Elephas maximus indicus: one gene and its partner. The protein of the gene in region 1 purifies or fractionates together with the protein of each later gene. This does not show direct contact. Links are inferred from orthologs where the notes say so. Each region holds a gene or a part of one and is shown on either strand. Other genes may lie near its edges.

Evidence for each region. The genes of interacting proteins can lie anywhere in the genome.
Region 2: the proteins of NEK1 (region 1) and CFAP410 purify together in Homo sapiens (affinity purification with mass spectrometry; 3 studies listed by BioGRID and IntAct, with this or other methods). This does not show direct contact. The link is inferred for Elephas maximus indicus from reciprocal best matches to the Homo sapiens genes NEK1 and CFAP410.

What each region holds. Positions count from the first base shown.
Region 1 is NC_064839.1:65,458,590-65,466,636, reverse strand, and holds the start of NEK1 (serine/threonine-protein kinase Nek1), read left to right. Parts: upstream 1-4,786; 5' UTR 4,787-5,357; intron 5,358-5,828; 5' UTR 5,829-5,889; intron 5,890-5,902; exon of another isoform or gene 5,903-6,964; intron 6,965-8,047. UniProt on the Homo sapiens protein: Phosphorylates serines and threonines, but also appears to possess tyrosine kinase activity. Involved in DNA damage checkpoint control and for proper DNA damage repair.
Region 2 is NC_064820.1:228,646,996-228,655,274, forward strand, and holds the start of CFAP410 (cilia- and flagella-associated protein 410), read right to left. Parts: upstream 3,261-8,279; 5' UTR 3,161-3,260; coding exon 3,084-3,160; intron 9-3,083; coding exon 1-8. UniProt on the Homo sapiens protein: Plays a role in cilia formation and/or maintenance. Plays a role in the regulation of cell morphology and cytoskeletal organization. Involved in DNA damage repair.

The sequences.
Region 1 (8,047 bases):
AATGTCTTAGCTAAAAACTTTTTCCCAGTCTGTAGGTAATCTTTTTACTCTTTTGGTGAAGTCTTTGGATGAGCAAAGGTGTTTGGTTTTTAGGAGCTCCCAGTTATCTAGTTTCTCTTCTGGTGTTTGTGCATTGTTAGTAATGTTCTGTATACTGTTTATGCCATGTATTAGGACTCCTAGTGTTGTCCCTATTTTTTCTTCCATGATCTTCATCGTTTTAGATTTTATATTTAGGTCTTTGATCCATTTTCAGTTGGTTTTTGTGCATGGTGTGAGGTATGGGTCTTGTTTCATTTTTTTGCAGATGGATATCCAGTTATGCCAGCACCATTTGTTGAAAAGACTGTCTTTTCCCCATTTAACAGACTTTGGGTGTTTGTCAAATAACAGCTGCTCATATGTGGATGGATTTATGTCTGGATTCTCAATTCTCTTCCATTGGTCTATGTATCTCTTGTTGTACCAGTACCAGGCTGTTTTGGCTACTGTGGTGGCATAATAGGTTCTAAAATCAGTTAGTGTGAGGCCTCCCACTTTGTTCTTCCTTTTCAGTAATGCATTACTTATCTGGGGCCTCTTTCCCTTCCCTATGAAGTTGGTAATTTGTTTCTCCATCTCATTAAAAAATGTTGTTTTGGAATTTGGATTGGAATTGCATTGTATCTGTAGATCGCTTTTGGTAGAATAGACATTTTTGCAATGTTAAGTCTTTCTATCCATGAGCGAGGTATGTTTTTCCACTTATGTAGGTCTTTTTTGGATTCTTGCACTAGTGTCTTGTAGTTTTCTTTGTATAGGTCTTTTATGTCTCTGGTAAGATTTATTCCTAAGTATTTTATCTTCTTGGGGGCTACTGTGAATGGTATTGATTTTGTGATTTCCTCTTTGATGTTCTTTTTGTTGGTGTAGAGGAATCCAACTGATTTTTGTATGTTTATCTTGTATCCTGACGTTCTGCTGAACTCTTCTATTACCTTCAGTAGTTTTCTTGAGGATTCCTTAGGTTTTTCTGTGTATAAGATCAAGTCATCTGCAAATAGAGATACTTTTACTTCTTCCTTACCAATCTGGATGCCCTTTATTTCTTTATCCAGCCTAATTGCTCTGGCTAGGACCTCCAGCACAATGTTGAATAAGAGTGGTGATAAACGCATCCTTGTCTAGTTCCCGTTCTCAAGGGAAATGCTTTCAGACTCTCTCCATTTAGGATGATGTTGGCTGTTGGCTTTGTATAAGTGCCCTTTATACAATCGTCACATTTTTAAAAGTTAATTTAATGTTGGCAATTTTTTTTTAAATGGAAATACTGTTACAGTATTCCTGATTATAAAAACAAACTTTTTTTTTCAAAATAATGAAGAGACAAACAGGGAATTGGTAAATGGAACAGAAATGCAGAAATAGATACAAGTACAAATGGTAGTCTTAATATATGATAAAGCTTACATTTAATTAATGGTCCTGGCATAATTGGCTTTCCTGCAGAAGAACAGAAAGCTAATCTCCCTATTTAATCTTATACAAAAGTATATTTCAAATACATTAAATATATTTAACGAAAAAATATAAAAACATTTAGGTTATCTGGTTAACTTGGGCCTGAAGGAGTATCTGCAAGGCTAGAAACCTAAATGACAAAGGAAATACCACATAAAAATTTACAATTTTCTGTATGGCCAAAGACATCATAAAACAAGTCAAAATTTGAGTCAGAAACTGGCAGAAAACATTTGTCCCACAATATGACAAAGGATTAAGTTTTGTATCTTACAAATAATTCCTATAAATTGATTTAAAAAAAAAAAAAGGCAAAGCATATGAAAGGCAGGCAAGTCACAGTGGAGGACATTCAAATGACTAATGTGAAAAGTGCAACAGCAGATTGACAAAATTAAGAGAAAAACTTTTAGTGTAGTGGAAACAGGTACTTTTTGTATAAAGCTGCTGATAGTGTGAATTTTATTATGAAAAGCAATTCAGTGGGTAGTAGATAGACTCCAAAGATGGCTATCATGATTCCTCCCCTCTCCATGAATCTTGCTTGGCCTTGTGACTTGTTTTGACCAAGAATGTGGCAGAAGTGATACCTATTCTGGGCCTACCCTTTGAAAATGGAAATATTGTTACAGTATTCCTGACGGCTTCTACTTCTTCTCTATTCAAAGCCAGCTGCATGTAAAGGATATGACTACGATGTTGTGATCAAGCCCAAGATGGTAATATGGAGAGAGAAACGTCATATGGCGAAGCACCAAGACACTAGATACGTGAGTGAAGCTTCTTGGATCATCCAGTCCAGTACGGTTGCTAGCTGAATAAAGCTAGGTGAGTGATCCCAGCCAATGCCGTATGGAGCAAAAGAACCACCCAACAGAACCCTGCCTGATTTCCTAACCACAAAATTATAAGAAATAATCATTGTTGTTTTAGGTCACTAAGTTTTAGGGTGGTTTGTCACATACAATACATAACTAAAGTAGGGTTATCTATTAAAGTGAAAAAGAAAAACAAAAACAAAAAACCTCATGACCCAGCAAACCCACTTTTAGGAACCTATCTTTCAGAAATAACACCAACTGGGAACGTTCGCTATGTCTTTTGGAGGGACGGGGTATGGTTGAATAGATTTGGGTACATCCACACCATGGAACATTAATATCATTTGGAACAATTAGTTGATCCCTGGATAGATTTTCATAATATATTATTAAATTTAAAAGTCCAGTTTGTAAAATAATGTATGTTCTATAATCCCATTAAAAAATTAAGAGTAATATATATGAATAGAGGCTTAGTTATGATTTTATGCACTTAGAGAAAAATGTAGATGGATATTCATGAAACTGTTAACACTGGGTTTCACGGAGGAGTTGAGTGCCAGGTTGAGTTCAGAGAACAAAAACTCTAGGCCTTATCTTTGTACACCTATGCTACTGTTTTGCTGCAGGGAACAAAGACTAGCATAGTTGTTTAAAAGAAAAATGCAATACATTTTTTAAAGGGAAAGAATGAAAGATATAGAAAACCATTCCTGTTAAAGGAAAAGTATGGAAGTATATAAGCCAGAAAATGAAAGCATCAATTAATCCTCTTAACCCAGGTTAGAGTGACCTGCTTTGTATATTCAACAATACATCAAAGGCACCTGTGTCAACAAAATAGGTCCCCATCACCCTTTGAAATGGTTCCAGATTATTCCACTGTTTGGAAAGGCTGTAATTTCTTTAATTGACTTCTTATTGTTAGACATTCACATTGTAATTTTTCTGGCTATAAACAACAATGGTTATCCTTGTATACACATCTTTTATCAGTTGTTCTAAAACTCAAATTACTGAGTCAAAGCATACGCATGTCTTCTAGAAAGGCTGTAGCAGTTTCTATACTCGTTAACAGTTACAACAGGCACCTAAAGAATTATCTAAGGAGGTTTCTGACTAGTTCTTTATGCAAGCAGCAAAAAAGAATTTGCTCAGATTAGCAATTGGGAATGTTTTCATGCTGCTTCGCTTACAGAGGGAAGTGGGTAGAGCTAGAATTATTGTGCACACAGCAGAATTCCTATTGACTAACTGGGGGTGGGAAAGGTCACAGAAGGTTAGCCCAGAAGTTAGACGAATGAGGAAAACAGACCTTGTGTAGCAGCATGGAGACCGAAGAGGACATAAACCAAGGCAGATTTTCTCCAGCTTGCCAGGTTGGATAACTTGCAGTGCCATCTTCTGGCAAAAAAAAAAAAAAAAAAAGCCAAGTCTTTCAATTTGCATGCTAAATCAAAGACCTAGACACAAGAACCCAAGGATGACCTCGGGTGTGTAGAGTGTTGAGGAAAGGAGGTGGGGGAGAAGGGGTGGATTTTTTTGAAGCAAAAATCTGAATCATTTCACCTCTGAGGTCTCCGGCACAATCTGTGGTCTTTCCAACGTGGCTGTATACAACACACGGACAACTTGTACAATACAGAGTGCAACAACTAAAGTAGCATACAAAGCCGTTGCCATCCTTCGGCTTGACACCTGGATTCCCTCGGAGTGCCTCGGAGTTACTCCGTGTAAGGCAACCTAGCTGTAGGGCTACTCGGGACAACACCCGACTTGATCCCTTGTTACAGCTTCAGGGGAATCTGGTCCTATCTCCGGAGAACTTGCAGTGAAGAAAGGTGCTTAGAATACTATACACTGCCAAGCGGTTCAACATACAGGCAGGTAATTTATATGTACACACACTAGATGTCAAAGCGTAGGAAACAACATTACGCCTTTCAACTTTTTAAAATTTCAAGGTTTAAGAATACTCCCTTGCTTTGATCATCCAAACTATACTAGAAAAAAAAAAAAAACTAGCTTTTTAGGCAAAATTATTTTTTAAAAATGTGGCACCCTAAGTTGTATACTATTAAGTACTTTTTTTTTGCTTGATAAAATTCCTTTGAGTAGTGTGTGTGGGACAATTTTATGATACGCTGTATTCCAAGTTAGCTTCTATTTGGGAGCTTTCGCCCTTATCTCTATCTTACTTCTTCCATCTTTACACTCCTACTTTTCCACCTTCTTCCACATTTACTTTCCTTCCCTGGTGGCTTCTCAGGTCAGCAGAGCCCTGACAACGTCTCGCACGGACTCCGCCGGCTTCCGCCCCGCCCCGCCCCGAGGCCCCGCCCCGTTCCCAGAGGCTCCGCCCCGTTCACGGGAGGCTCCGCCCCGCCTCGCCGCTCGCTCCGGGCCACTCCACAGACACGCCCCCTTCGTGCGTAGACGTCACACGCCGGCGCCAGTGACGTACTGACCGCTCCCCCTGCCTCCCGGCACCAGGGTTCTGTTGCGCTGGCGTGCGGAGTGCCCCGCTCGGAGTCCCAAGCACTTTCCCCGCGTTGGTCCTCCGCGTAGCCGGGAGTGTAGAGCCGGCGTTGCGAGGCCGCAGGACGCCGCAGGCAGGTAGCCTCCCCGGACCAAACGCTGCCCTCCCTCCCACTCCGCTGAGGCCGCTAGCAACCACCTCTGAAGTTGGAGATGCGGTAACGGAGTCACTCCCCCCGCTGCCGCCTCCCGTTTCCAAGGGGCTCCGAAACCAGTTTGTTTTATCGGGATAGTGTGGAGCTGCCTCACAGGGCGTTGCCCGAGGCGGGACGTAGTCAAGCCCGAGGTGTCAGCCAAAGGGTGGTGTCAGCTGTGGGACTCTCCCAGTCCCCCCTTTCTGGGCTGTGAGCTGCTGCTGGGTAGATCCCTTTCAGGATGTCATTTTCAAAATGCGGGATGATACCTCTGCCTTAGTAGGTCCTTTGAGAAGACTGCTACACCTAGACTAATGCTTATCGATCATCACCGTTATTCCTACTAAAGCCCTGTGTCATTGAGGTGAGTTGCACTTGGGGGAAGCAATGGCATGCAGAATAGTGAAATGATAATGAAAATGAGAAGAAAGACCGTGCTTAGACTTGCTTACATAGAGATGGAACGGAGTGTTTACATAGGAAACACTTTCATGTCATTACAATTTAATTCTCTAAGGAAAAGTATGTATTTAAAAGCAATCATTTGACATTATTTAAGAAGCCGTACTGATAATGAAATTAAAATAATAATAGAAATTTTGCTATGGATAAGGTATCATTTAAATTGCTTAAATGCTGGTTGACTCTGATCTTAAAGTAGTGGTCTCTGATTTTAATTAGGAGTGGGAAAAAATGAGGTAGCAAGTAACATGTTACTCTAAAATCTTACATTTCAGTTTTCATGGTTTGACACAATTTCCGTATGTAAGACATTAAAAGTTCTACTACTTTCAGTATGTATCATAACTCATTTCTTATTTCTTTTTGCTTATAGGCCTGTTTTTTATTCTCGAATGTAAAATTTGTCTCCAGAAGCAGAATTTTTTATTGCCTTGGTAAGTTACATTAGAAATGTTTGTGAAGGATTAAAAGTAATGTTCGGTATAAGTTAATATGTTATATCGCGCAGCACTGTTGTAGAGATGATGGAGAGGAGCCAAATGTAGAGAGAAATAGCCTTCTGTTTCCAGTATGGATTTGTCTGTCTGCAGATCTGTTTCATTTAAAATTGCCCGTTGTTCTAGGTGAAATGTAAGGAGCCTGTTTTGTGGGAAAACAGGTTTTTTTTATACAGTAAGTGTCACCGTTTGGAGTTTAGTAAAGATCATGAAACTTGGCTTCAGGAGTTCTTTTGAGGTCAAGTTAATAATACGTCGACATTGTATTCCAAGTGTATTTTACTCTTTCTCATCTTCTGTCTTCTGATCTAAGTAGTGAACATGACACCTTCTCCTGAATATACATTTTTTATTTACGTGTCGGTAGTTTCCACTACAGAAGCTGTTAATTGTTGTCCGAATGAACTTAGAAAGAGGAAAAAACAAATAGTTTCAAAAAAGTCTAATAGCATCCCATTTTTGCTTTCTATGTTTTTCCATAATAAGTAATGATTACACCTCAGTATAAAGAAAACAAAAACCCTCACGACTGGACCAATAAGCAACATCATGACAAACGGAGAAAAGATTGAAGTTGTCAAGGATTTCATTTTACTTTGGGTCTGCTGTCAACACCCATGGAAGCAGCAGTCAGGAAATCAAATGTATTGCATTGGGCAGATGTGCTGCAAAAGACCTCTTTGAAGTGTTCAAAATCGGAGATACCACTTTGAGGACTAAGGTGCACCCAACCCAAGCGATTGGTATTTTTAGTCACCTCATATGCATGTGAAAGTTGGACAATGAATAAGGAAGAATGAAGAAGAATTGATGCATTTGAATTATAGTGTTCATGAAGAATATTGAATATACTGTGGACTGCCAGAAGAACAAAACTAATCTGTCTTGGAAGAAGTACAGCCAGAATGATCCTTAGAAGTGAGGATGGTGAGACTTCGTCTCATGTACTTCGGACGTGTTTTCGGGAGAGACCAGTCCCTGGAGAAGGATGTCATGCTTTGTAAAGTAGAAGGTCAGTGAAAAAGAGAAAGACCCTCAACAAGATGGATTGACACAGTGGCTGCAAATTGGGTTCAAACATAGCAACAATTGTGACGATGGTATAGGACTGGGCATTGTTTCGTTCTGTTGTACATAGCATCACTAGGAGTCAGAATTGCCTGGATGGCACCTAACAACAACAACGATAAGATGTAATGCAGCAACTTTCCTCACTGAGAGGATAAATTCACACTGTGTCACAATTTATAATGGTATTTATAGTTTAGAGAGAACTGTATGTATTGATTGTAGCTACAGATAGTACCATAAGGATTTCTTGAATCTCTTGATCTTCCTTTATCAATGTTTTTCTTCAGGACAGCCTGTCCATCAAATATGTGAAACAGCTGATGAGGGCATCATACTGTCAGATTTGTGCGGATATAGTTTTTGATTCATATAATCTGACATTTTTCATGTCTAGTACACAAAATTTTTATTATGTCAAACATTGCTTGCTTATGGCTTTAAAGAAATTCTTAGTAGAATGTGACGGAAAATGTCTTTAATTTGCCTAGGATATCTTTTCTAGACCATAGTCGACATACTTGAAAAGTAGAGTGATACCGTGTAGAAAAGCCTTGAATGTCAAGGTGAAGAGTTTGGAAATGAACTGTTCAAGAATTTTAACCAAATTAATTTAGCTAGGGTTCTCTCTACTTCTTTCTATCAGTATTTATTACTCTTTTTGACATTTATTTTGTTGTTTTCAATAGATAATACATTCATATGGTTCAATATTGAGAAGGTACAAAAGATTGAAAAAAATCTTTGCCCCATCTACTTAATACCCTTCCCTGAAAGCAGTCAATATTACCACTTTATTGTGTATCCCTCCAGAAATGATATTTACAAGGAATTGCGTGTATGTGTATGTGTGTGAAAGCAGGTTTTTATATAGTAAGTCACTGGTAGTTTATTACCGAATCAGTTGTCATCAAGTCGATTCCCAGTCATAGAGACCCCATGTGTATCAGAGAAGAACTGTACTCCATAGTGTTTTCAGTGGCAGATTTTTCGGAAGTAGGTATCAGGCCTTTCTTTGGAGATGTCT
Region 2 (8,279 bases), on another chromosome or scaffold:
GGCTGCCCCTGGGGAAAGAAAAGAGATACATACTTTAATTTTGCTGAAGTTGAATGAAAAGGGGAAAAAAATTTTTTTTTTTCCGAAATGAATGGTGAATGCCCACAAACCTTAAGAGTCTGATTTTTTAAGATGCAGTAAAAGACTACAAAGAAAGTTACTTTATGTTGACCTGCAAGCTAGATGTGATTAACAGGGTTTTTTTTTTTTTTTTTTTTTGCACTTTACAAAGCTCTAGAGTTATGTGTGTATATTCATTCTTTTTTTTTTTTTTTTTTTAATTTTTATTAAGCTTCAAGTGAACATTTACCATTCCAATCAGTCTGTCACATGTAGGTTTACATACATCTTACTCCCTTCTCCCACTTGCTCTCCCCCTATTGAGTCAGCCCTTACAGTCTCTCGTTTCGTGCCAATTTTACCTTCTTCCCTCTCTCTCTATCTTCCCATCCCCCCTCCAGTCAAGAGTTGCCAACACACTCTCCTGTGTCCACCTGATTTAATTAGCTCACTCTTCATCAGTAATATTCATTCTTTTTGTCTGATTTCTGGAACTTTTCCTGTTGATGATGAAATCTAAAATGCTAAAATACACTGCAGATTCCTTTGTTCCATGCCTGTTTACTATGAATACAAAAGTTTTTTACAGAGACCAGGAGTTCACCAACAACTGCCTGCCTCCCCCCACATCTGACACTCTGGGATGATACGCTCAAGTTTTCCTTTTATCAGAGAAGAAAAGCGGAGAGAAACATATTTACTGAGCAAACACTGGGGGCCTGAGTTTATTTCTCTAATCTTCCCAACAATACCGTGAGGTAAGCTGTAGCACTCTGCTTTTACAGCTATAAAGATGTGGCTGTAACAAAGAAGTAATTTGCTCAAGGCAATAAAGCTAGCCAGAAGTGCAACTAAGATTTAAAGCCAAATGTGTCTCATACCAAAGCTCTGTTCTTTGCCATTTGACAGGAATATTGTTCAATTCCAGAACCTTAAACCTGTTGCCGTCGATTCCGACTCATAGCAACCCTACAGGATAGAGTAGACCTGCCCCATAGGGTTTCCAAGGCTGTAATCTTAATGGAAGCAGACTGCCACATCTTTCTACTAAGAAGCAGCTGGTGGGTTCAAACCACAGACCCTGTGCTTAGCAGCCGAGCACTTAACCACTGTGCCACCAGGGCTCCTTCCCTGAACACTACCCAGGAGCTTTCAGGTTCTGGGGGAAGAAAATGGAGGGTAGGCAGTTTTATATGGAATGGTTTCTGCAGGTGAAGAGAACTGGTGCCAGGAAGTGTGAGATAAAGGGATAGGGTAGACCTGCTACCCTTGGGGGGGTGTTCCTACCCCCTTTTCTCATCTTGTCAGTGTTAGACTTTGCTGCTCCAGGGAAGGCTTGGTTGATAGATAGCTTGACACGAGCTTGGATGAAGCCTTGGAACTTATTTGATTGTTTAGAATATCTACCTATAGACAGATACAAAGGAGATATTGCAGCTATACTTTATTTCTTCTGTCCTAAGGAGTCAAAACAGGAGTCCCCAGGCGGCCCAAACGGTGGCTCAAACCCACCCAGAGGCAGCTTGAAAAAAAGGCCTGGCAATCTGCTCCAAAAGGGTTGGAATCAACTCAACGGCAACAACAACCAGAAAGACTGCTCAGATAACTGACAAAGGCGGCCAAGAATCATTTCTTGGCTGATTTTCAAAAAAATTGGGTATGTCTGATGCCTGGGGGTACTTCTCGGACAAAGGAGCAGTGCTGGTTGCTGTTATTTGCAGGACAGAAACGATTTGTTCATTCTCACAGTGGCCACAGGATAGACAGTTAATCTCCTTCACTGATGCAAACAAGGGTGTCTTTCTAAGTAAGAGGCCAAGTTCGAAGGCTAAACACCCGACTTATGAAACAAACCTCAGAAAGTCTGAAGTAGGATTATTGTTTCTCCCCGCTCAGAGCAAGTAAGACCAGAGACTTGCATACTCTTTCCAAAACAAAGAAACGCATTATTGAAAGCAAATGGCAGAAGGGAAATTTTGGCAAGATACCAGATGTGCCACGGTAAAAAGGCTTTTTAAGTAACACCTACAGTCTATTCGCAGAAGTCAGTGTGAGGAAGGGTCTGCCCTTGGCTGTGCAGCCCACTCCCTACCTAGCTACCTGTCCAGCCTACAGGTGAGCATTAAGCCTTGCTCTGAGTCCCCAGTGACCACCCGTGTGTCTTTCAGATCCCAGCTCCAGGCTACCTCCTCTGGGAAGTGCTTCTGGTCCTCCCTGGTCCCAGCTAGCCCTGGCTACTCCCACCTGTGGCTGCTCTGATTCCACAGTTCCTGTATGCTTTCCTGCCACTTCCCTCCCAAACATCACATCGTCTGGGGACAGGCCCCTTCCCCCAAGTACTTAATTACATACACGCTTCTTGTGGTCAGGTGCTGTGAGTCAGCTCTGACTTACATATGTTGTTGTGTGCTTCTGACTCATAGCAACCCACGGGGACAGAGTAGAACAGCAGACAGAGTTGAAAACCCGGAAGCCTTTCAAGGCTGCAATCTTCATGGAAGCTGACTGCCACATCTCTCCCCCACTGGTGGCTTTGGGTTAGCAGCCAAGCACCCGGGCTCCTTGATACACACGCAACAGAACTAAACGTGCCCTGTCCATGCTTAGGGAATCATGATTTCTGAGTCCCAGTCCTCGTCCATATGTCAGACCCATCCAGAGGGAACCATCTGCCCCCAGTAAAGCTATTTAAAACCGGGCAACGAGACTTGGAGAAAATTCTAGGTGTTTTAAGGAAAGGCAGCCTGTCTGAGCCTGGGTCCCAAACACCACCGCTCAGGGGGCGTGAAGGTTCTGGAATGGCCTTTGTGCCAGCGGCCACCTGGGCTTGAGGCAGCACCTCCCGCGGGCCCCGGAGCAGCAGGCCGCCAGGGCCGCTGTGGGGCGGCGGCGCAGAGGCTCGGCCCGAGGCGCCTCGGGCCCCGGCTCGCTCCGATCCCCTCGCGCTCCGGCTCCGCTCGCCGCAGCCCCCCGCCCGGGCGGAGATGCCGGCGGCAAGAACGCAGGGCGGCCCCGGCCCTCACCAGCAGTTGAGCTTTCGCACACTGTCCAGCTCCGAGGCCTTGGCCCGGGACAGCACCATCTTCCGCGTCAGCTTCATGGCGGCCGAGCTGCCCGGACCCCAGGCGGGCCTGCCAGGGCCCGACCCAGCCGCTCAGCCTCGGGTTCCGGCTCCGCGCCGCGCGTCTCCAGGGGCGGGGCGAGTCGTCAGGGGCGGGGCGTGTCGGCAGGGAGGGCCCTGCGAGCCCATTGGCGGCCCGGCGTGGGGCTTCCGCTGGGCACCCTCGGCCCCGCCCCTCCTCGACTCCGTCCGTGGTTTTGCGCGTGCGCAGTGTGATCTCTGCGTGTGGGCACATAATTGGGTGGCTCTATCAGTTCGGTCCTCACCGCCACTGTCAGGGACTGGGGTCGTCTCTCTGCTGCTCTGGCTGGTTGTTAGGTGCGGTGGAGTCGGTTCGGACTCATAGCGACCTTATATACAACAGAGCAAAACACTGCCGGATCCTGTCATCCTCACAATTGTTGCTGTATTTGAGCTTAGTGTTAGAGCCACTGTATCAATCCATCTGGTTGAGGGTTTTCCTCTGTTTCGCTGACCCTCCACTTTACCAAGCATAATGTCCTTCTCCAGGGACTGGTCCCTCTTGATAAATGTCCAAAGTACGTGAGACGAAGCCTCGTCATCCTTGCTTCTAAGGAACGTTCTGGCTGTCTTCCAAGACAGATTTGTTCATTCTTTTGGAAATGGTATATTCAATATTCTTCGCAAACACCATAATTCGAAGGCATCAATTCTTCTTTAGTCTTCCGTAGTCATTGTCCATCTTTAGCATGCATGAGGCTATTGAAAATACCATGACTTGGGTTAGCCGCACCTTAGTCCTTGAGGTGACATCTTTGCTTTTTAACACTTTAAAGAGGTCTTTTGCAGCAGATTTGCCCGATGCAATACATAATTTGATTTGTTGACTGCTGCTTCCATGGGCGTTGATTGTGGATCCAAGTAAAAGGAAATCTTTGACAACTTCAGTATTTCTCTGTTGATCATGATGTTGCTCATTGGTCCAGTTGTATTTTTTTTTTTATATTGAGGTGATAGTAACAAATTATGGATAACATCGCAAAGAAAGGGAATTTCAGAGCACTTAATTGTGCTCATGCAGAACCTGTGTATAGTTCAAGGAAAAGTTGTTCAAATAGAACAAAGGGATACCGTGCGGTTTAAAATCAGGAAAGGTGTGTGTCAGGGTTGTATCACTTCACCATACATATTCAATCCGTATGATGAGTAAATAATCGAAGAAGACAGACTATATGAAGAAGAATGCTGCATCAGGATCAGAGGAAGACTCAACAACCCGCGATATGTAGCTTGCCAACCTTGCTTGCTGAAAGTGAAGAGGACTTGAAGCACTTACTGATGAAGATCAAAGACTACAGCCTTCAGTATAGATTATACCTGCTCTGGCTTAGGGTGATTTAACTCTTGCAATAAAAAATCCAGGGAAGTTTTAGGGTGATGAGATTACATTTATGGAGAAGTTGTTAGTTGCTGCCCAGCCAGTTGATTCTTTCTGAAGCAGATCACTTGTCCTTTCTTCCAGGCATATCTGGGTGAGTTCTAACCACCAACCTTTTGGCTAGCAGTCGAGTGCTATTTGTTTCACCCACAGAAACCTCACATGTATTTAAACCTGTCAGGAACCAGAGAAGGAGTCCCTGGGTGGTGCAAAGAGTTAATACACTCAGTGAGTGGCCTGCAGAGGAGAAACCATTCTAGTAATGGAACTGCCTAGAGCCTGGGGTATGAGGCAGGGCTCAGCATGATGTTGCATAACTGATGATTGGGGGCAGTGTGAGACTGGAGGGTGGACAATCTCAGAGGGGTACCTCTCAGCTCTTGGCTTCCAAGCAGGGAGAGAGCATTCTGACTCCTCTTCATGGGGCTGACAAGGCTTGACCTCAGAGGAACGCAGAAACCAGAGTCAGAGCCACAAAGAGCAGTGGGGAGCTTCCAGCAGGCTTATGCTGTGTGTGCTTGCAGAGGGCTTCTGGACTGTCCCAGCTTGGTGGTATATCAGGTGGATGAGGGCAAAGCAGAGGCTGCTGAGAACTGACCTTTAGTGCCAAGATGTGGTGCAGAAGTATCCACAGAAAGGCTGCTGAGGTGTGGGAAACAGCACCATCCACAGAGGGAATCAAGAGTCTCCAGGCTTTGGCAAACCCCATCTTTTGCTCTAGGGAGGGCCAAGTAGGCAAATGCTGGAGCATCTTATACTGGGAGCAATGCCAGTGGGCTAGCCACTAATGGGAAAAGGGTGCCCTAGTTGCTGGCCCTGCTCATCCTTTCTTGACCCTACCTGGGTGAGATGGCCCCTCTCCCTGAATTCATCAGCACCTTCAAATAATTCAGACCCTTAGCCACCCTCTGGGAGTGTCTGGGTGGTGCAGATGGTTAAAACACTTGGCTGCTAACTGAGAGGTTGGTGGTTTGAATCCACCTAGAAGCACCTTGGAAGAAAGATCTGTTGATTTACTTCCAAAATATCAGCCATTGAAAATCCTGTGGAGCTGGGGACCATGGTCTTGGGGGATATCTAGCTCAACTGGCATAACATACTTTATAAAGAAAATGTTCTACATCCTACTTTGGTGAGTAGCATCTGGAGTCTTAAAAGCTTGTGAGCGGTCATCTAAGATACTCCACTGCTCCCACCCCATCTGGAGCAAAGGAGAATGAAGAAAACCAAAAACACAAGGGAAAGATTAGTCCAAAGAATTAATGGGTCACAAATACCACAGCCTCCACCAGACTGAGTCTAGCACAACTAGAATGTACCCAGCTACCACCATTGACTGCTCTGATAGGGATCACAATAGAGGGTCCCAGACAGAGCTGGAAATAAATGTAGAACAAAATTCTAACTCACAAAAAGAAGACCAAATTTACTGGCCTGACAGAGACTGGAGAAACCCAGAGAGTATGGTCCCCATACACCCTTTTAACTCAGTACTGAAGTCACTCCTGAGGTTCACCCTTCAGCCAAAGACTAGACAGGCCCGTAAAACAAAATGAGACTAAATGGGCACACCAACCCAGGGGAAAGGACAAGAAGGCAGGAGGGGACAGGAAAGATGGTAATGGGGGACTCAAGGTTGAGAAGGGGAGAGTGTTGACATGTCGTACTGTTGGCAACCAACGTCATAAAACAATGTGTTTATTAATTGTTTAATGAGAAGCAAGGATTAAGTTGAGTTGTAGGTCCAAGTGTGATGGTTTTAGTTCTGTCAATATGGCTAGGCTGCATTTCCCAGAATTCCCTTCCCAATATATAGTTCCAGGAAACCCTGGTGGCATAGCAGTTAAGAGCTACCACTGCTGACCAAAAGGCTGGCAGGTCGAATCCACCAGGCGCTCCTTGGAAACCCTATGGGGCAGTTCTACTCTGTCCTATAGGGTCGTTATGAGTTGGAAGTAATTCAATGGCAACAAGTTTTTTTTTTTTTTTTATTAACTTTTATTAAGCTTCAAGTGAACGTTTACAAATCCAATCAGTCTGTCACATATAAGTTTACATACATCTTTCTCCGTACTCCCACTTGCTCTTCCCCTATTGAGTCAGCCCTTTCAGTCTCTCCTTTCGTGACAATTTTGCCAGCTTCCCTCTCTCTCTATCCTCCCATCCCCCCTCGAGGCAAGAGTTGCCAACACACTCTCAAGTGTCCATCTGATATAATTAGCTCACTTTTCATCAGCATCTCTCTCCCACCCACTGACCAGTCCCTTTCATGTCTGATGAGTTGTCTTCGGGGATGGTTCCTGTCCTGTGCCGACAGAAGGTCTGGGGAGCATGGCCGCTGGGATTCCTCTAGTCTCAGTCAGATCATTAAGTATGGTCTTTTTATGAGAATTTGGGGTCTGCATCCCACTGATCTCCTGTTCCCTCAGGAGTTCTCTGTTGTGCTCCCTGTCAGGGCAGTCATCGATTGTGGCCGGGCACCAACTAGTTCTTCTGGTCTCAGGATGATGTAGGTCTCTGGTTCATGTGGCCCTTTCTGTCTCTTGGGCTCTTAGTTGTCGTGTGATCTTGGTGTTCTTCATTTTCCTTTGCTCCAGGTGGGTTGAGACCAATTGATGCATCTTAGATGGCCACTTGTTAGCATTTAAGACCCCAGATGCCACATTTCAAAGTGGGATGCAGAATGTTTTCATAATAGAATTATTTTGCCAATTGACTTAGAAGTCCCCTCAAACCATGGTCCCCAGACCCCCACCCCTGCTCCGCTGACCTTTGAAGCATTCATTTTATCCCGGAAACTTCTTTGCTTTTGGTCCAGTCCAATTGAGCTGACCTTCCATGTATTGAGTGTTGTCTTTCCCTTCACCCAAAGCAGTTCTTATCTACTAATTAATCAATAAAAAACCCTCTCCCTCCCTCCCTCCCTCCCCCCTTCGTAACCACAGAAGTATGTGTTCTTCTCAGTTTTTACTATTTCTCAAGCTCTTATAATAGTGGTCTTATACCATATTTGTCCTTTTGCCTCTGACTCATTTCGCTCAGCATAATGCCTTCCAGGTTCCTCCACGTTATGAAATGTTTCACAGATTCGTCACTGTTCTTTATCGATGCGTAGTATTCCATCGTGTGAATATACCACAATTTATTTACCCATTCATCCGTTGATGGACACCTTGGTTGTTTCCAGCTTTTTGCTATTGTAAACAGAGCTGCAATAAACATGGGTGTGCATATATCTGTTCGTGTGAAGGCTCTTGTATTTCTAGGGTATATTCCGAGGAGTGGGATTTCTGGGTTGTATGGTAGTTCTATTTCTAACTGTTTAAGATAACGCCAGATAGATTTCCAAAGTGGTTGTACCATTTTACATTCCCACCAGCAGTGTGTAAGAGTTCCAATCTCTCCGCAGCCTCTCCAACATTTATTATTTTGTGTTTTTTGGATTAATGCCAGCCTTGTTGGAGTGAGATGGAATCTCATCGTAGTTTTAATTTGCATTTCTCTAATGGCTAATGATCGAGAGCATTTTCTCATGTATCTGTTGGCTGCCTGAATATCTTCTTTAGTGAAATGTGTGTTCATATCCTTTGCCCACTTCTTGATTGGGTTGTTTGTCTTTTTGTGGTTGAGTTTTGACAAAATCATGTAGATTTTAGAGATCAGGCGCTGGTCTGAGATGTCATAGCTGAAAATTCTTTC